4 linked regions of the Arabidopsis thaliana genome follow. The protein of the gene in region 1 interacts with the protein of each later gene in a pairwise test. Each region holds a gene or a part of one and is shown on either strand. Other genes may lie near its edges.

The links.
Region 2: the proteins of AT4G02930 (region 1) and RPL12-A interact in a two-hybrid assay, tested with the Arabidopsis thaliana proteins (one study listed by BioGRID).
Region 3: the proteins of AT4G02930 (region 1) and FTSZ2-2 interact in a protein complementation assay, tested with the Arabidopsis thaliana proteins (one study listed by BioGRID).
Region 4: the proteins of AT4G02930 (region 1) and FTSZ2-1 interact in a protein complementation assay, tested with the Arabidopsis thaliana proteins (one study listed by BioGRID).

The regions. Positions count from the first base shown.
Region 1 is NC_003075.7:1,294,871-1,300,157, forward strand, and holds AT4G02930 (GTP binding Elongation factor Tu family protein), read right to left. Parts: upstream 3,631-5,287; 5' UTR 3,485-3,630; coding exon 3,294-3,484; intron 3,180-3,293; coding exon 3,104-3,179; intron 3,011-3,103; coding exon 2,918-3,010; intron 2,837-2,917; coding exon 2,762-2,836; intron 2,430-2,761; coding exon 2,325-2,429; intron 2,237-2,324; coding exon 2,146-2,236; intron 2,057-2,145; coding exon 1,851-2,056; intron 1,766-1,850; coding exon 1,682-1,765; intron 1,577-1,681; coding exon 1,508-1,576; intron 1,427-1,507; coding exon 1,364-1,426; intron 1,279-1,363; coding exon 1,038-1,278; intron 952-1,037; coding exon 881-951; 3' UTR 505-880; downstream 1-504. UniProt on the Arabidopsis thaliana protein: This protein promotes the GTP-dependent binding of aminoacyl-tRNA to the A-site of ribosomes during protein biosynthesis.
Region 2 is NC_003074.8:10,316,762-10,320,446, forward strand, and holds RPL12-A (ribosomal protein L12-A), read left to right. Parts: upstream 1-1,743; 5' UTR 1,744-1,814; coding exon 1,815-2,390; 3' UTR 2,391-2,391; exon of another isoform or gene 2,392-2,671; intron 2,672-2,719; coding exon of another isoform or gene 2,720-2,889; 3' UTR 2,890-3,159; downstream 3,160-3,685. Other genes in the region: MDAR4 (monodehydroascorbate reductase 4), read left to right, coding at 53-171, 365-1,120; AT3G27831 (Gamma-thionin family protein), read right to left, coding at 2,720-2,889, 3,268-3,331.
Region 3 is NC_003074.8:19,549,136-19,554,955, forward strand, and holds FTSZ2-2 (Tubulin/FtsZ family protein), read right to left. Parts: upstream 3,967-5,820; 5' UTR 3,757-3,966; intron 3,738-3,756; exon of another isoform or gene 3,431-3,737; intron 3,349-3,430; 5' UTR 3,301-3,348; coding exon 2,680-3,300; intron 2,313-2,679; coding exon 2,013-2,312; intron 1,923-2,012; coding exon 1,832-1,922; coding exon of another isoform or gene 1,791-1,831; exon of another isoform or gene 1,496-1,790; intron 1,455-1,495; coding exon 1,330-1,454; intron 1,182-1,329; coding exon 1,089-1,181; intron 1,004-1,088; coding exon 938-1,003; intron 832-937; coding exon 706-831; 3' UTR 526-705; downstream 1-525. Other genes in the region: AT3G52760 (Integral membrane Yip1 family protein), read right to left, coding at 4,797-5,570. UniProt on the Arabidopsis thaliana protein: Exhibits GTPase activity. Component of the plastid division machinery that forms a contractile ring at the division site.
Region 4 is NC_003071.7:15,196,833-15,202,278, forward strand, and holds FTSZ2-1 (Tubulin/FtsZ family protein), read right to left. Parts: upstream 3,772-5,446; 5' UTR 3,637-3,771; exon of another isoform or gene 3,185-3,636; 5' UTR 3,101-3,184; coding exon 2,468-3,100; intron 2,303-2,467; coding exon 2,003-2,302; intron 1,918-2,002; coding exon 1,827-1,917; intron 1,526-1,826; coding exon 1,401-1,525; intron 1,199-1,400; coding exon 1,106-1,198; intron 1,024-1,105; coding exon 829-1,023; 3' UTR 537-828; downstream 1-536. Other genes in the region: AT2G36240 (pentatricopeptide (PPR) repeat-containing protein), read left to right, coding at 1-324; AT2G36255 (Defensin-like (DEFL) family protein), read right to left, coding at 4,570-4,748, 4,836-4,896. UniProt on the Arabidopsis thaliana protein: Exhibits GTPase activity which converts GTP ligands to GDP.

The sequences.
Region 1 (5,287 bases):
TCCAACATTTCTTCATCCTCCACCATATCAATTTTGTTCAAGAAGCACACAAGTGATGGAATACCAACCTGTGGCGAATTACAACCTAAAAAAACAGTCATAATTTCTTCAGTAGCTTTTCGATCAAGTCACACAACAATGATGTTCTTCGGTTTGAACATATGGTAAAGTAAGGGCCATGAAACTTTAATTGTGTGAAGAGAATGAAATCAGAGCCTCGCGTTGACGACCCTGCTTGTACTGGTAAATCAGTAGTTTGCATATTTCGTCTACTATGCTCGTCCTATTTGCGTTGTTTGACCCCTTCTTGTAATGGAAGTTGTAACACAAACATAAATAATAACTAGAGGGAACGACGACATTTATTTTCTTTTCAACAATATAACTAGTTCCTAAATCTAAATTGGGAGTGTGGAACCTAAAAAAGTAGTATCAGTACAAAATCTAATGTTACATACAAGCTTGTCTCTCACCACAAGAGTGAGCACTACAATCTAGCATAGCATCATAAGAGGAAGCATACTTGAGCAAAAGATTTGCTAAACATGAAATAAATATTTCATTTCTGGTCAACTTAATTTAATAATCGAAAATTCATGATTTTGGTTTAAAGAAATAAAAACAAATACTTGACAAACCACGAAGGTGAGAAAGAATTGGAAGTGGCTTTTTGAAAGTTTCACAAAGTAGGAAGCATCAAAAAGAAATAGACGTTTCGTGCCCTCTGCCCTAATCTTTCTCATTGGAAACATAAATTAAGTTTCTCTCTGTTTATTTGATCTACCCAAAGAAATCTCAAAGCAGCAAAAAGACAAAAAGAAAAATCTCGAAATTGATGGATTCCTAGAGAACGAAGGAGAAGAATGTGCTTTTGAGTAGTTTAGGTCATCACTTTTGATACAACACCAGCTCCAACTGTTCTACCTCCTTCCCTTAAGGCAAATCTTTGACCTGTTTCCAGAAGACGAGACGTGAAGGAAAAGAATCAGAAATCCAACTTCAAGTACCAAAAGAGAGTTTCTGTAAGATTGTTTTACCTGTTTCGAGTGGGACAGGCATGATTAACTCGAAAACAGCTGTGACATTGTCACCAGGCATAACCATCTTCACGTTTTCGGGTAATTCCACTTTGCCAGTGATATCTGCAGTCCTCAAGTAAAACTGAGGCCTGTAGTTAGAGAAAAATGCAGTGTGACGTCCACCTTCATCCTTTGTGAGCACGTAAATCTCTGCTTCAAACTTCTTGTATGTCTTGCATGAACCAGGCTTAGCAATCACCTAATACGTAAAAGCAGAGGATTAAACTTTAGTTCAGTTGGTTTTCAGTAAAGTTGGTTTTCGTCGTAAGGATGCCTAAGCTTACCATTCCACGCTGAATGTCTTCTCTCTTTAGCCCACGCAGAAGAAGTCCTACATTATCACCAGCCTAGCATAATAGAAGCCAAGGTTTGATCAGTATCTTACATGCCCAGAACTTGTCTTTGTAATCTTTTGATATTGGCTTTACCTGTCCATTATCCAAAATCTTCTTGAACATCTCAACCCCAGTTACAGTCGATTTCAGTGGAACACCCCCCTGAAAATCAAATCTTGCAGTTATGCTAAAGAAAATGCTTAATTGTAATAGCCCCCCAGAAAACACCAGTTTGGCAGTACAAACACAATATTTATGCACTCTCACCTCACGTAAACCCAATATCTCAACTTCTTCACCCACTTTAATGACTCCCTGTTCGATACGACCGGTTGCAACAGTTCCACGTCCCTTTAAGAAAAAGAAATGTATCAGAACTGTTTTTTTTTTTTTAAAGAGTGAATCAGAAAACAACAAGGATGTAGACTAAGTGTACTTGAATTGAGAAAACATCTTCAATTGGCATCAAGAAAGGCTTGTCAAGGACGCGAACAGGGTCAGGTATATATTCATCAACAGCATCCATCAGCTTTAATATAGCTTGCCTTCCAATTTCATCATTGGTGCCCTGTAATGCGGACAGAGCAGATCCTCGGATGATGGGAATATCATCCCCAGGAAACTTGTAGAAGCTGAGGAGCTCTGTATAGAGACAAGAGTTGATGTGAGCAAGCGTATACATACTTCATATGCTGAAAGAAGAAGTTCTGTGACATTAAAAATCTACAAACCACGTAGTTCCATCTCGACAAGCTCCAAGAGCTCAGGGTCATCCACCACATCAACTTTGTTCAAGAAGCACACAAGTGAGGGAACACCAACCTGTGGAACATTGCATAATTTTCAAATTGTGGCAAAGAACCTAGCTCCACTGAGTAGCTTCAAGTGTTCATGGTTTAATAATCCAAACCTGGCGTGCAAGTAGAATATGTTCCTTTGTCTGCGGCATGGGTCCATCTGGTCCTGAAACCACAAGAATTCCGCCATCCATTTGCGCAGCTCCAGTAATCATATTCTGAAAGTTAGCAACAGAAGCAGTGAGGCTCAACTGTTTACCAAAGTATTTTCAAAGGAAACCCGTATACTGATGCATGTTACTCCACTATACAATTGACAAATACTAGATTATGATGCTTGCATAGAGAATAACCCTTCTAGTTATCATAGTTCAAAACCGTGATCATTGATAAATAGATTGGAGTCAGAGTTTCAAGAAAATGTGTAACATGTAATGTTTGCAGCGTTAAAATGATATACACCAAGGAGCAGCATACTTTAAGTTCCAAGAATCCGACTATTGTTAACACCTATCTTATATGAAAGTAAAAAAGTATATCGGTTTCTTACTTTAACATAATCTGCGTGTCCAGGGCAATCCACATGAGCATAGTGACGCTTTGCAGTTTCATACTCCACATGAGCCTACAGAACCAAGTAACATCAAGTAAACGAACAAAATCTAATTAGAAAAATGAGAAAATGATACATAAAGATAACACAGACCGTGGCAATAGTAATTCCTCTCTTCTTCTCTTCAGGAGCTTTATCAATTTCATCAAAGGCAATAGCTTTAGCTTTGCCCTCCTCAGCAAGAACCTGCAACATAAGTAAGATCACAATATCAACTTAAAAAAAAAACAGATTCTTTGACAATAAGTTTCATGTAACCAATATACACAAAAGAAGTACCTTTGTGATTGCAGCAGTTAAAGTGGTCTTGCCATGATCAACATGCCCAATAGTTCCAACATTTACATGAGGTTTACTGCCACAAGAGCAATTACATAAGCAGAGCAATCACAATCAGAATCACCAACCAGTTTTCCAACTTTCCGATCTGAAGAGGGAAAAAGAAGCAAAAAATGGAAAGAAAACTAACTTTCGAGTAAAAGTGGCCATGGATCTCCAGAAGGAGGAGGTTCCGAAGGTAGAGGAAGAGAGATCATCTCCACCGATAGAATGAGAGATCGAGTAAGAGGAAGTAACGGAAGCACCACAGCGAGAGTAGATCTGGGAAGAGAATGGAACAAGGCGCTTCGAGCTAGGGTTTCGAAGAACAACGGACGCCATTTTGACTTGTACGAGAGAAAGGCGAACACACAAATGAGATTTGGGGTTTTAGTCGCCTGAGTAACAAGGGTTTCTCTTGAAACCTCGACCCTGTTTTTTCTTAAACCCGATCCGACGACCCGGCTTAAGCCCATTTTAGTATTCTTACTATTATTGGGCCTTAGTTCAAAACACCAACTTGTTCAACAAATTAAATTTTTGTTTATTCGATTTTACGTGGGCTCGAAGTACTTTTTATTTTATTTTTGTTTGTTAAAAAGCTATCAAGTATATCCAAAGTTTTTAAGAGCAAATAAAATGGGATCCAAATTATAAAAAAAAATCACTTAAAAATTAACAGTATAGATGATATGATCCTTTTAAAATTAACAGTATAGATAATATGATCGTTATAGATGAATATTTAATTTTGCATAAATATACATATTTTTGTCAAGAACATAAATCATGCATATTTGAATTTGAAGGTTAAACAATATGACGGTACTATTACAAACTGCTATATTACATGTCATATGATTCATATAACCGTGCCTAAAGGGTTAAAAAAAAGAAAGGCTTTTGTCTCGAGCTTCCAAAATATGTAATGTTTTTAGGGCTCCCAAAAAATAATTTATAATATATCACAATGGTTTTTCACGATTTTTTAGCCTTTATAAATTGCATATCTAAATTACGGCTTGGTATTCAGGTATGCTGGTCGGGTTTGGGTAATAATCGGTCGAATACGGATATGTCGGATATGCTATTCTAGGACCCAATAGGGTAAATAGAAAATCTCGGTTCGGATTCGGTTCGGATCCAATCGGTTTCAGATCGGTTTATATCCAAATACCCGAAATTTTACCCAATACCCGAATTTGTATCCAAATAATCGAAAATTTTACCCAAATACCCGAAGTTTCTAGTTATAAGAATACATGACTATATATCCAAAGTTTGAAACGAATCATTTAAAATAATATTCACATTCCTATATTAAAAAAATAAAGCAAATTCTGAAAATGTTTCTATTCATCAAAAGTCTAGAACTCCCTAATAGAGTGTACAAATTGTCTACAACTATAGATGAAAGAGCTCCAAATATGATTAACTTGCGTATTCTTGTAGACATTTATGTCGGGAGAGAAGTTGTATATCTTTGTCAAAACCAATCTCAAATGTCACTGATATATATAAATGTGTTTACACAATTTCTTTGTAATTAATTGATGTCTCTCTTATGCTTTCGAAAGCAACGGTTCCCACTGATCCACGTCGTTGCATGATAGTGGTTCCTATAATCACATGCGTTGCCGTGGACTGTCTTACTTTATTTCTTAATATATAGAGTCTATATCAATCCTATTATTTCTTTTTTATATTCAGCCAAGAGTAAACCCAAGATGCCATTAACGATGATGAAGCCTTTTTACATGAAAGTGTTGAAGATCACGATTCTCCACCACTACATCATCAACAAAGCATGAGAGCTTTTACGTCTCAAGAAAAAAGTTTAAAACTGGAAACTAAATTCTGAAACCAGAGGTTTGATTGGATAAAAAAAAAAGTGAATTCACTAAAAGTTCACATAGTAGTCTAATATTGAATAAACAAATTATGAACATAACCCGTGATTTTATATGGGATGTGATTAATGAAATCATATGAAGCCTCGGTGCATTAGTCACAAATCATTTTCATAGATACATCATAAAAAATTTCAAAAGATAAAAAGATAAAATAGGGGTTTGGCAAAAAAAAAAAAAAAAAAAAAAAAAAAAAAAAAAGAAGATAAAATAGTGTCTTATAAAACCATATTTT
Region 2 (3,685 bases), on another chromosome or scaffold:
TACGAGAGAAAGGTTGTGTATTTAGCTTGACCTTTTTAGTTTCTTATGACAGTGGCACGTCTCTTTACGCCCAAGATTGCAAGTTTGTATGAAGACTACTACAGGGCTAAAGGCGTAAAATTTATAAAAGGAACGGTTTTGACATCATTTGAGTTTGACTCGAACAAAAAGGTAAGATCGTTTCTTTTAGCTTGAGATTCAACTCGAAAAATGTCTGGTACGTTGCATCTATGTATACAACTAAGGATGGCAAGAATCAGTAGAACCACAGATACTTCTGGTCCAGTACTCAAACTATGAAATCTTGAGCCTTGTTCAATGTATTTGTTTATTGATATGAGGTTTTTTGGTTTTCGATTTACAGGTTACTGCAGTTAATCTCAAAGACGGGAGCCACTTACCAGCCGACTTGGTTGTGGTTGGTATCGGGATACGACCAAACACAAGCTTGTTTGAAGGACAGTTAACAATAGAGAAAGGAGGGATAAAAGTGAACAGCAGAATGCAGTCAAGTGACAGCTCAGTGTATGCAATAGGCGATGTAGCTACATTTCCAGTGAAACTATTTGGCGAAATGAGGAGGCTTGAGCACGTGGACTCAGCTAGGAAATCTGCGCGACACGCAGTTTCAGCCATCATGGATCCAATAAAGACCGGAGACTTTGATTACTTACCATTTTTCTACTCAAGGGTCTTCGCATTCTCATGGCAATTCTATGGAGACCCTACAGGTGATGTTGTGCACTTTGGAGAGTATGAAGACGGGAAATCATTTGGAGCGTATTGGGTTAAAAAGGGTCACCTTGTTGGATCTTTTCTTGAAGGAGGCACTAAAGAAGAATATGAAACTATCTCAAAGGCGACACAATTGAAACCAGCTGTGACTATTGATTTGGAAGAATTGGAAAGAGAAGGACTCGGGTTTGCTCACACGGTTGTGAGTCAGCAGAAAGTTCCTGAAGTTAAGGATATTCCGAGCGCTGAGATGGTGAAGCAATCTGCAAGTGTGGTCATGATAAAGAAGCCTTTGTATGTATGGCACGCAGCTACTGGAGTCGTTGTGGCTGCATCTGTGGCTGCGTTCGCGTTTTGGTATGGGAGGAGACGCCGTAGATGGTGAGGAAAAAAAAAACTCTTCAAGTGTTGGATTCATTGGAAATGGAACTTGCTGTTGTTTGTAGCATTGGTGGGAGAAATATAGAAGGGAGAGTCCAAACTACTCAATGTGATTACATTGGTATACGATTATTATATGCTTCTTTTAAAATGCATAAACGTTTCCACTACAAACTTTGATTCAACGTCTTTGAAGCCCTTTGTTACTTGTTAGTGTTCATAATCTTGTGATTATTGGTAGAGTTAATTCGGCAATACGGCAATACCCATAAAATTAGAAAAATAGCAATGAGGAGCTAGCTAACAAATAATTTTGCACACTTATTTAATTGTTATGACAGAAATCATAATTAATAAACAAACTAAATGTGATTAGAACAACAAGGGCGTTTGGTCTAGTGGTATGATTCTCGCTTTGGGTGCGAGAGGTCCCGAGTTCGATTCTCGGAACGCCCCTTTTTATTTTTTTAACTCCTCAACGTCAGGCCTCACGGGTATTTTCGTAAACATACAAACGATACAACCTCATCTATTTGTATATGCGCATGATAGCAAACGTACGCAATATTCTATTCCCCAAAATACCCCTTATCCATCATTTTTCTATCCTCTCATCTTTCATCTTCCTCACACACAATCCAATCAAAACACACAGAGAGAAGAAAAACTCAGAAGAAAAGCCAAAGAGTGAAACAAAAATGGCGTCGACGACTCTCTCAATCGCAACAACAATCCGTTCCTCATCTTATCCTACTCTCGCTTCCATCAATCACTTCCCTTCCCGAACCACCACCATCGAATTCCCCTCTCGCTTCGGTGGTGGTTCATCATCCACATTGACCCACCGTGCAACCCATCTCCGTCCAATCGCCGCCGTCGAAGCTCCGGAGAAAATCGAGAAGATCGGATCCGAAATCTCATCCCTAACCCTCGAAGAAGCTCGTATCCTCGTCGACTATCTCCAAGACAAATTCGGTGTCTCCCCACTCTCTTTAGCCCCCGCAGCAGCGGCGGTTGCTGCTCCAGCCGACGGTGGCGCGGCGGCTGTAGTGGAGGAGCAAACAGAGTTCGATGTGGTTATCAATGAAGTTCCGAGTAGTTCTCGTATTGCAGTAATTAAAGCTGTTAGGGCTTTGACTAGCTTGGCGTTGAAGGAAGCTAAGGAGCTAATCGAAGGATTACCAAAGAAGTTTAAAGAAGGTATCACTAAAGATGAAGCTGAAGAAGCTAAGAAGACTCTTGAAGAAGCTGGTGCTAAAGTCTCCATTGCTTAAGGTTTTTATAAAAAAAAAAAAAGAAGTTGTTATCTTTTCTGGAATTTGATTGGTCTTTTGTGTTGTTTAGTATAGTTTGCGTCTGGAATTGTTGAGAAATTGTTGTAATTTGAATCACATTTGGTTTCCCATTAGCTGATTTCGCCATTGATGTGAGCTTTTTGGTAGCTGCACATAACATGTTTGTTGAAATGCCTAAATGAGGCAAATCACTCGTAGTTGCTTAACATGAAACAGAGTTAAAAATAATAAGCACAAATGTCACTGCTACATTTTTTTACTTAGTATTGTAACACTCATGAAATATTTAGGATATATTATAAACGAGATCATGTATGAATACAAAAACACAGCATATTAACACCAAGTTTGAGGCATTGTCCACCTAAGAAACCTTGTTCTTTGCAGTGCTTATTGCAGTCCGGAAATTTTGAGCATAGACCTTCCACAAGGTACCACCCTCCTTGAGCTTTGGCCATAGATTTTGCGTGTACTTCACCTATCGTTTTCCAAAGATTGTTGTAATATTAGAAAAAAAGTCGTTACTCGTTTAGACATAAAGGCAAAAGAAAAAGAAAATTCACTCGACAAGAATCTCTTGCAGCTGGTAACAACGCAATATCACTATGTATTTTATTTTATTTTTTGTGATAACAAGTTAATATCACAATGTATTGTGAATCACAATGTATTGTGAAAATAATAGTGTATACAATATGTATGGAGATATGATCTAATGTCTGATATAAAATAAGTATTCGGTTTGCTAGTTAGTGTTGAGTGTTAACTCATGAATCTTGCTACTTTGGTTATACTTCAGTATATATGAATAAATTGAATTAAACAGAAAAAAAATATAAACGTTTTTTTGGCATACTTGGGGCGAGAAGAACAATCATGCATAAGAACACAAGGAAGGCGCATTTGCTTGATGAAGCCATTTTTGGTTTTTGTATTGTTTATTTTTCTAATATTTGCTAATGGAACACAATATTACTCAAAACCCTTATTAATATATATATATATATATCTGTATATATAGAGAGAGAAATATGATGAGTTTTTTACTTTGTAAATAAAATTGGATTCTTTTCTTATTTAATCTAGGATATTTTATTACATTTAAGTTATGGTTTTATTTTATATATATGAAATTTTTAATAATCATGATATGGGATGGGGTGGATTTAATTAGTGATGATTATAGGATTTAGATTCAATTTTTTCTATTAGTTTATTTTCATTATGATAACTTTAGGTATCCTACTATATTATTTAGGAAGTACATTTTAAAT
Region 3 (5,820 bases), on another chromosome or scaffold:
AAATATAAAATGGTGTAGTTTACAAACTGATTAGTTCGTATTTTCTTACATGTTACATCCATTTACAACCAACAAGTTAATCTTCTAAATTTTTTTTTTAATGTGTGTGCAACTACAAAGGTAAACCTGAGATATGCGTAAGACCCTCCCCACCATGTGGAGATTCTCCAAAGGGAGGAGGTGAAGATACGCCGGGACATAACTATAAAAAGCCTTGCAAACCCATTCCAAGACCACCTCCTCCTCGAGATTGCTAGCAGCTTTGAATTTTCAACACAAGTCCTTAATGTTTTTTTAGTAACAATATCATCGAGACTAATTTATTTGCACGATGTGCAATAATATCGTTTAATTATACCTTTTTTCTTTCTTTCTTTCGAAATTTATGTGTAATTTGTGGTAAAAATAATAATTTGTGCACCCGTATGTTTGATTTAAATAACCAAAACCATTTACAATGTCTCATCATAGGATATATTTGTCTTAGATGTTGTTTTTCTATCCATTTATCCAAAGGCAAAATCTGGAAACAGAGTGACAGAGACTAAGATTTATCATCTGTCAAGTAACATTATTTTTGTAATATAGTAAAATAATTTCTAACAACCTATTATAGAATATCACCATAGAGGCAATTTACATAGCCGCACCAAACATTCTTTCTCCTTACATTCAACAATATCATGTAGAGTGATCAAAGTGGGTCTAGAGGCGAGGATAGCGAGAGCGCCCTTTCTTCTTTAAGAACTCTGGGATCTCTATGGAGCTGCCTTCAGTGAATGATGATGAAGGACGTCTTGTGGCTCCCATTGATGCATCCGCTTGTGTCGCCTGTATTTTCATGTAGCAATAAGAGAGATTACAACCGAAGACTTTTAACATTTGATGTAAGAATCGGCTATGTTGTGTGTGTGTGTCAAGGGAGACAAGTGAATACCTGAAGTGGCCTCCCTTCTCCTTCTTCTTGGCGTTTGAAGCCAGTTGCTATCAGGGTAATACTTATCTGACAGGAAGAAAAAAAGTTTAAGCAATTTGGGTATCTCATAGGTTATATGTTAGAAGAAAATCCAAGAAAGAAGAATACTTACTTGACCACTATAAGATGGATCTACCACAGCACCAAATATAAGATTCGCTGTTGGATCAACGAGGTCGTAAATCACTTCTGCAGCAGCATTTACCTACAAATCGTTTCCCGAGAGTCAAAATAGAGACACACAACGTTATATATGACATGGGACTGAAGTTCTTTTATGAATTGTCTAGGGAAGAAACCAAGTGATTTCTAGGACAGGAAATGGTCTGAAAGCGTAGAGAGGGAAAAAAAACCTCGAACAGTGTTAAGTCACTTCCACCGGTTATGTTCCAAACTATTCCAGTGGCTCTCTCAATGCCAATATCTAATAAAGGGGATTGGATTGCGTTTAATGCAGCATCTCTTGCTCGGGTCTTTCCTGCTCAAATAACAGTATAGCTTGAAAGATTAAGCATGATGATGCAGCCAAAACATAGCACCAAAATAGTTCAAGTTTAGGATTTTCCTCAATATACCAACTTGCAGTGGACCAAACATTATTCCTTTGTCATGGTTAAAGAGTACTAAATCTATAGTCAAATTAATCTACTCAGCTACATCTGTAGTACCAATTCTCAGTAAATTGAAAACTTAGCATTTTAGCTAACAAACATATGCATAAAGCGTCGCCTATATTGGTCACAGGGTTCTTTAACCTGCCTTCTAAACCAATATTCCCCTTCGACATACGTAATGATGCAGCAGATAGAGCCTATCAATAAAATAGTTCAATTCCAAAGAACACTCTACTCTTACCTGTTGCAGTTCCTATTCCCATCAATGAAGAACCTGCATTTGCCATTATCGCCCTCACATCAGCAAAATCCACATTGACCAATCCAGGAATCTGCAATGCAAACACAACGATATTGCAGTCAGACATTTTCTATAAACATGGATGTCATAGCTTAGAGAATAAATACTTTCAAAGCCATACCGTAATAATATCAGATATTCCACGGACACCTTGACGAAGTATATCATCTGCCAGATTAAATGCTTCTGTAACTGGAGTAGACTGAGAGACTGCTGCTAGTAACTTGTCGTTTGGAATAACAATGAGGGTGTCAACATTATCTCTGAGGGCTGCAATCCCTTCCTGAGCCTGGAGTGCTCTTCTCCGTCCCTCAAATGAGAAAGGCGTTGTCACAATACCAACCGTTAATATACCCATCGCTTTTGCAACCCCTGCAATTATAGGAGCACCACCTGTGCCAGTTCCACCACCCATTCCAGCCTAGAAAAATAACAAGACATTTGGCTAGAAAAGCTTAGGCACTGAACTTAAAGATCTAATCTTACAGTCAATCTATGGAGGCAGCAAATTCACACAATAACCCATAACTGGTTGTACTTTAAACAGGAAAGTATTCTATGATCGAAGACATAAACCTCACTGCTTTAACCAGATGGAGATAAAAGAGAAACTGGTAAACACAAAGAGAAACTGCAACCCACCAAAATTCAATAAAACCAACATGATATTGCAAACGGCGATTCTGACCCGTAAAACTTCTCATTTGTAATCTATATCTTTATATAGAAATAAGTATAAATAAAAGTTTGTTACTAAGAAAAAGTGAAAGTAATAGTTATAGACATACTGTGACAAAGACCATATCTGAACCATAAAGTGCTTCTTGAATAGCTTCTTTGCTTTCTGTAGCAGCATTCATCCCAATCTCTGGATTACCTCCAGCACCTAAACCCCTAGTCAACTCCTTACCAATTTGTAACCTATTGTCTGGAAAAACCGGAGATATTCTCATTGCTTGGATATCGGTATTCACAATCCAAAACTCCACACCAATCATCTCACTCTCAATCATACGATTCACAGCGTTTGAACCACCACCTCCAACGCCGATAACTTTAATCCTAGCCTCATTGTAAGTGTTTGGAGTAGATAACTCATCCAAATCCTCAGTAATGGGAACACTGGAAGTTTCTTTTCTTGGGTTGAGCATGGATATCTCAGGGTGGAGATTCAAGAAAGAGTCTTGGCTTTGGAAATGGCTTGTACTATGAGAATTCAAAGAGTTTCTGATTGACGAAGACTCGTACTTATGAGAAGCAACAACACGATATCTTTTAGTAGTACCTTCACTCATTCTTAAGCAACCAACCCTCGTGCCTAGATGATGATCAGGTAACACACTCTTTCTAAGAACAGTGAGTACCCGAGAATCCGGAGGAGTTAAACAGGGAGAAACATAAGCTGCCATTCTGAGACTACAGAAGCAACCAAAGATCTATTAAAAACTCCAATTTCACTGCTTCAAGAGAAAGAACAAGAGGTCAACGTCAAGTCCTGAACCAAGAAGAAGATTAAAAAAAAAAAAAAGTGGCACTCACATTCTACAGTACTATAATTGGAAACCAGTTGCATATCAGCAGCATATGGATCAAGTTCAACACTAGAAGCTAAGATACTACAAAGAAAAGTCAATGCTTTAATTAATAAATTTCCGAGGAGTATCAATTTGAATCAGAAAACTACAATTGGCACATCGTACTGTTCTAAAGTAACGAAATTGAAGATGGGGAATTCCAGAAATTTGTAAAACAGTAGACGAATACAAAAAGCTAAGACATTTCGACGATTGAGTACAGAATTTCCAGAGGGAGCAGTTTTAGAGATTGTAGCAGAAGTACATTAACATGTAAAAGACGAAGAGTACCTTACGAGTAGTGGCAGCAGAGAATTCGAGCTACAAAGAAAAAAAAATGGGAACCAATGAAAATGGAAGGTTTTGGTGTTTTCTGGGCTTAGAATCTCTTTCTCGATCACATAAAAGTGGATTATGATTTTGATTTTGCTCCTAATTTTTATCTGTTTCAGTAACAACTACAGCTACTAAATTCATCTGTTAAATAAGTTGGTGAAAGAGACAAAGCGTTAGCCGACGAGAGTGATGAAGAAAATTAAATGTTTAATATAAATGGGCCTATAATGTTGGTCTTAAAGCCCATACAACGAATTCTGGGCTTTAGCCGGATAATAAGCATACGAAAAATTTGCACAATTTTATGAGTCTTTTGCTTGCTCATGTAGAACAGTGAAGTCCATGGAACCATGAATGATGATGAACGTAAACAAGCCACAATTCTATAATTCAGATTGTTTGTTTGCGTTTAGATTTGTTTCGAACGCATCAATTGTGATTGAGACAATCGAAGTATGATAGTTTCGCTATCTTATGCAATGCCATTGCCAGGCCAAAGCTCGTCATGTGTATCTTCTGATCAACTACTTTCTCGCTTATAGAACAATTTCAAGCTAAACCATTCACACTTCTCCCCAGTCACTTATTTATCATTGGTAGTTGAAGCAACCTAAGATCTTTAATCAAAACATCTTAGTGACTCGCTTCTACGTTCGGAAAATCTACACTACAACTGCAACACATGTACGCTAAAAATGAGCAATTGATACTCTCACCAAATCTAATTCAAAGAACAGTTCATGTCAAGAAACTGTCAAACAGAACCACAAAAGGATGTATATGGCATAAACGTTTCGAGATTTCCAATAGTAAGAGATCTTAGAACATCATCTTCAATTACTTAAACCACATCAATAACAACTTCCTCTAAAGTTATCAAAAACCTTTACAATGTCTCAGCTATTTCACCACAAACACTTATAAGATATCACATTAAGCTACTCAGTAATGGCACCGGAAAGTTCAACAATCTATCAATATTCGAAAGCAAGGAATCAAAAGATAACGAGAAGCGAAAACAGAGTATAGATTAAGAAACAGGCGTACGAAATCAATCCACGGTGCTCTTCTCCTCCATCAGCAAGAGACACCACCAGATTAGAACAAGCTCTAGTAGCCCACAACACGAAAGCCGCACCGAGCACAAACCGAACGGGACCAGCACCTTGTGGCACAAACAAGGACACCGCGGACAAAATCACAACGGGAAGCAGAGAGTAACCAACTAAACTCGTACAAGTATGAAGATTAAGATTCCCATTTCTACCAGCAAGCATATTGAAGACAATGTACAAGAAGATAGAAGAAACAACAACCCAACCAAGTATAACACCAAACTGTATCTTCCCAGCGAGCAATTGAAATAAGCAAAGCGCAAGGTATAAGAAGATCGGACCAGAGAGATCTGAATCTTTGTGAACAGTCTGATTGATTCGAAAAGGATTGAGAATCGATCTAGTTTTCTTCCAGATTTGATCTGGATGGATACCGAGTTCGTCGAGTAAAGGCTCCTCATCCTCAAACGAAGCAGAGACTCCTCTACCGAAAGATGCAGATGAAGCGATTGTTCCGTCGAATGGTCCCGCCGGCATTGAAACGGCGGCGGATCCGATTTCAAATGGAATGAAAGGGATTGAAGATGAAGCGGAGGATTGACGTGGTGGTTGGTAAGGAGCTGTGGGAACTCGGCGTTGCTGAACATTTGCGGTGGCCGGAGATGATCCACTGGTGGGGAAAACAACCGGTGGAATTGGAAAATCCTTCGTCATCCTCTAGAATCCCTAATTCAGATCTCGAATTTGAAGTTAGTGTTTTCTCTCAATCGGATTTGATTTCAGAAATTGAAAATAATTCCAGTAACAGGCGACTACTACGCATTCTTCGTGTTCGTATCTTCGTGATATGTGATAAGGGCATTTTCGGTAAGTGAATTAATAATGTTTTGGGCCGTATAAGGCTTTATCAGCCCATTAGTTTGTAGTTTTGAACAGCCTTTGCTACACAAACAAGTCAATAGCC
Region 4 (5,446 bases), on another chromosome or scaffold:
ATGGAGAAGATGATGAATGCAGGAATTCTTCCCGATAGTGTGACATTTAACTTGCTTCTTCGGGATCTCTGCAGTTCTGATCATTCTACTGATGCAAACAGATTGAGACTTTTGGCATCAAGCAAAGGATATGAACCCGATGAGACAACGTACCATGTTTTGGTTTCGGGGTTCACGAAAGAAGGGAGAAGAAAGGAAGGAGAAGTTCTAGTGAACGAGATGTTGGATAAAGATATGTTGCCTGATATCTTTACATATAATAGATTGATGGATGGCTTGTCCTGCACTGGAAAATTCTCAAGGAAACAAGTCCGGATGTTGTAACCTGTGTTTGATCTGTGTAAACTAGACCCAAGCTATATCTATGTATCAACAAATTTTATTTTGAACATATGAAATGGAAACCAAGTTGGTTCTTTGTTTGGTTGCTGCACATTGCCACAGAATCATGCGTCGGAGATGAACTTTTTTTATTCGAAAGTCACAGTTGTTTGCTGGTATATCGCTATTGATTTTTTTATTAACTGAATGAAAAATGACAATAATTTCTGCTAAAACTCTCATAATCTTATAAGTATGTTTATGGTTCGAGAAGTGTGATTCTTCTTCTCCTTTTTTGTTTTGGAAGTGACATAGAGAGAAACTCCGATTTCTAAAACAACCTATTCAAGAACACGACCAGAGGCAGTGACAGAACATATACACACCCACACAGATTCTTGATCATACATCAACACATCTTGCTGTATCCCAGAAGGCAGTACCAGACTACCAGTACACACACGTTTGTTATTGCTGCAGTGTGCAGGGTAGTGATTAGATTGGGCTTTAGACTCGGGGATAACGAGAGCTGCCTTTCTTCTTCAAGAACTCTGGGATCTCCACTGAACCGCTTTCTCTAAAGGAAGAAGAGGGTCTTCTTGTAGCTCCAACTGACGCAGCATCTGCTTGTACCATCTGAACTGTTCGTCCTTCTCCCTCTTCTTGTCGTTTGAAACCCGTAGCTATCAGGGTTATGCTTACCTTTTACCAAAAAAAACATCAATTCTATCATCTCTAGAGGTCTTATCTATGTTTAGTAGAAGAAACATTATAAAGGACATACTTGACCGCTGAGGGCTGGATCTACAACAGCACCGAATATAAGATTGGCAGTTGGATCGACAAGATCATATATTACTTCTGCAGCAGCATTTACCTACACAAGACCAAAGTGTATGAAAAACTATAGAGCATCTTAGGGGTATGAAGCAAAATCAGGCTTTGCTCTAAGTTGTCTATGGAAGGAAGAAAATAAATGATTTTAACACCCTGTCAATGCGTCTCTCAAGATCCAGTTATTGTTTATGGATCTATCGACATAGAGATAAGAAACAAAGATGAGAGAGAGAGACAAAAACCTCAAACAATGTCAAGTCACTTCCGCCAGTAATGTTCCAAACAATTCCAGTGGCTCTCTCAATCCCAATATCTAACAAAGGAGATTGGATTGCATTTAGCGCAGCATCTCTTGCCCGACTCTTTCCTGAATGATTACAAGTAGCATGAAAGAATCAGCACGTTGCAAACAAAACAAAACCTTGCGCAAAAGAAGTTCAAGGTTCATGACTTTGATTATTACATCATGACATAGATGCACAATAGTTGAGTAACAGTGAATATAATATGGTCATTTTCAGTATCCCAGTCACTAGACTGGTTTCTTTGCCACACCAATCTACTAGCTCATTAGTTCAATTAGACTATTTCGACACATATCTAGTGACTAATGGTTCTGCTTATGAAACTATGCAGCTAAATGAGCTTATCCATCATTCCAAACTTACCTGTCGCAGTTCCTATTCCCATCAATGAAGACCCCGCATTTGCCATTATAGCTCTCACATCAGCAAAATCCACATTCACCAAACCAGGAATCTACAAATCAAGGACAAACGTAGCTGGTAAATCATTTGCCATACACAAAAAAATGATCACAGGATGCCCATAAGAAAAGCTATACCGTAATGATATCAGATATCCCACGAACCCCCTGACGGAGTATATCATCAGCTAGATTAAATGCTTCTGTTACCGGAGTAGACTGAGAGACAGCTGTAAGCAACTTGTCATTTGGAATGACGATGAGAGTGTCAACATTGTCTCTGAGAGATGCAAGCCCTTCTTGAGCCTGAACAGTTCTTCTTCGACCCTCAAACGAGAAAGGCGTAGTGGCAATACCAACTGTCAATATACCCATCGCCTTGGCAATTCCTGCAATTACAGGGGCTGCACCAGTGCCAGTTCCACCGCCCATTCCAGCCTATAAAATGATGAAGAGACATATAAACCTCACTCTTTTGGACAGATGGAGACCAGAACTAGCTGATAAGTGATTGACAAATGACACATACCTCTTTTTCTACAATCAAAGTTTATAACTAAGAAGAACAAATGCAATAGTAATAATAAAGATTTGAGGACATACTGTGACAAAGACCATATCTGAGCCATAAAGAGCTTCTTCAATAACTTCTTTGCTCTCTCTAGCAGCATTCATACCGATTTCTGGATTTCCTCCAGCACCTAAACCCCTAGTCAACTCCTTACCAATTTGTAACCTATTATCAGGCAAAACAGGAGACATTCTCATAGCCTGGATATCAGTGTTGACAATCCAGAACTCCACACCTGACATTTCACTCTCTATCATACGATTCACAGCATTTGATCCACCACCTCCCACACCAATAACCTTAATCCTCGCCTCATTGTAGTTACTCGGAGCAGATGGCTCTTCAAAATCCTCGACAACAGGTCCAGAAGACGTTTCCTTTCTTGGATTGACTATTGTACTAGTCCCTTCACCTCTAAGCATAGATATTTCCGGGTGAAGGTTCAAGAAAGGATCTTGAGCTTGGCTTTGGTAATGCCGTGGAGAGTTTCTGATTGGAGAAGATTCAGATTTCTGAGCGGCAACAACAACTCGGTTTTTCTTACTGTCAATCGTTCTAATGGAGTTCAACCTGCCTAAATGATTCTCCGGTAAAACATTCTTTCTAAGAACAGTTAGTAACCGAGAATCCGAAGGAGTAAAACACGGTGAAACGTAAGTTGCCATAATGAGACCAATCACTGCAGGACTTTACAAAATTCAGAACCAAAAGACTAAATCCAATTCCACTGATTACTTCCCTAACAAGACCTGTTCATAAAAAGCTAAATGGTCAAACCCAAAGCTCTCAATTTAGAGTTATATGATTCAGCCACAAAGTAAAACACGAAATCCACAAAGTAGCCACAAAGCAGTGTGATTTACATTCATAAAGTTAACATAAACAAAACCCAGTCGCATCTATGCTCCATTGTTAACCAGCAATAGATATCAAATCCTCAGAAATTGAGAATCAGTGGATGGTTTAAGACTTAGAAGAATGAAACAAGTGAGGAACCACAAAACCCAAATTAAACTAAAATGCTTTTTCCCATTACGAATTGAAGAAATTGAAGATGGGTATTGCGAAGTTTGCAGCATTACATGAAAACAAAGTAGAGAAATGGAAGAACACTGAGAAAAGCTTAGATTTTTGGGTAAATACAGTAAGATGGAGGACGAAATCAAAAGGATAAAGCTGGAGGGAAGTGGAGAAGAGAAACCTGAGAGTAGCAGAGGAAACCTGGAAGAAGAGTTGGGAGAGAAAAAGTGTGAATTGAACAAGGAGCTCAAGGTCTGGAGGAAACCCACGAAACGGAGGGTTTTGGTGTTTTCTGACTAGTAAATATCTCAAATTCATTAAACCCCCAATAATTAAAAAATATATAAAAAATGCTTTTGTTCATAAAATTTTTATTTTTATTTTGGTAAAATTTTGTTCCAATTTATCACTGTTATGTTGGTGTTGGTAAGAAAAAAAACTATGGGAAATGATTGTACTTTAAATTTCATTTCATGTACTTTCATTGAATTTTTTGTGTAAATTTGCTAAATGAATTTTATGAAGGAAACAAAAAAAATTACAAGAAAAATGTGGTGGCTACATTACATAGTTGGAACAATAATGTCATCATTTGAATTAACTAAAAACAAAAAGCAACTCTAGTCGTTACGGCAAAAGAGTTTCGAGGTTGTGATATTCCTTTATGTTTCATGGTTTAGGAATATGGTTTTGAACTTTTGATTAGAGTTTTCCTTGTACTTTACTTCTTTTGAGTTTAGGTTAAGAGTTCTATTACTATTAGGAGTTGATTTGGTGTTATAGATAAGACTCATTAGCCTTTGTTCAACAAAAAATAGCACATACATATAGATTAATGACAAGAATGAAGAAAAAGAAGAGGACATATATATAGGAGAGATAATGGAACACCAAAAGCAAACATAATAAACAGATTTAATCTTACATTCATTTATCGCATCAGCTACATTTACGGTGCTGATGCAAATTTATTGAAAGCGATAAAATAAAAACACACAAACATGGAACACACATGTAGATATGTGACATTGATCATAAGCAATGCACACATTATTTAGGTACTGATACACAATTATTCACGTTTCATATTTGGTTTTGCGTCCGGATGAGATACTTAACAAGGTCCGTAGCAGTGACAGTGCGTCTCGTTGTCTTCCACTTCACATGCCCCAAACCAAGTTGTGTTGGTTGCCCTGCAAAGAAGGTCACACAATTTTGAGCCGTCAACTTTAACACACACACCCTCTTGAGCTTCACCTTTAAAGCATGTTTGGGCTACCGCCTTTGGGAGTCCTGTTTTAACCATTCTCACATTAATCTTTTCACATCCATATCGATATTAATATAGGACAAAGGAAGTTAAGAAAATCTTAAAATTACCATTAGAAACCAACAAGATGATCATCAAGAGAGCAGAGAAGTTAACTATGAGCTTTGCCATATTTCTTTGTTGTTGTTTTGTGTTTGCTTCTTCTTCTTTTTTTAATAGAGCAGAGATTGATGAGCTTGTAGCTAACTATTTGAAAGCATAGAATCATTTATAGGGCAAACTCGTTGACTTTTATTTCTTCTATTTGAATCCAAGACATATATAGTTTATTAGTTTTTGTGTAATATGGATTAATGTATATAATGTCGCCATAATTTGAATTGCTAGTTGACAAAACAGAAATGAATTGCACGATCCACCCAATGTCTCGCTAATGATCTCTCTATGTTGCATCCAAATTGTAACAATTTTTTATATAGCAACATATTATAATTTTAATGTCATTATTTTGGCCCAACTAAAATTCAAGGGATGAGGATAAAGTATATAGAACACCAAACCTTGTATCATACGTATGAATACACAGAAATAGTTAAATATAATTATTGAAGTGTTCTTAGTAAAGTGCCTTGACTCAACTTAACATAATGAGCACATATAATGACATTGATATTGTATTGACTCTTTGTTTCATATGATACTATACCAAATAAATTTCTTA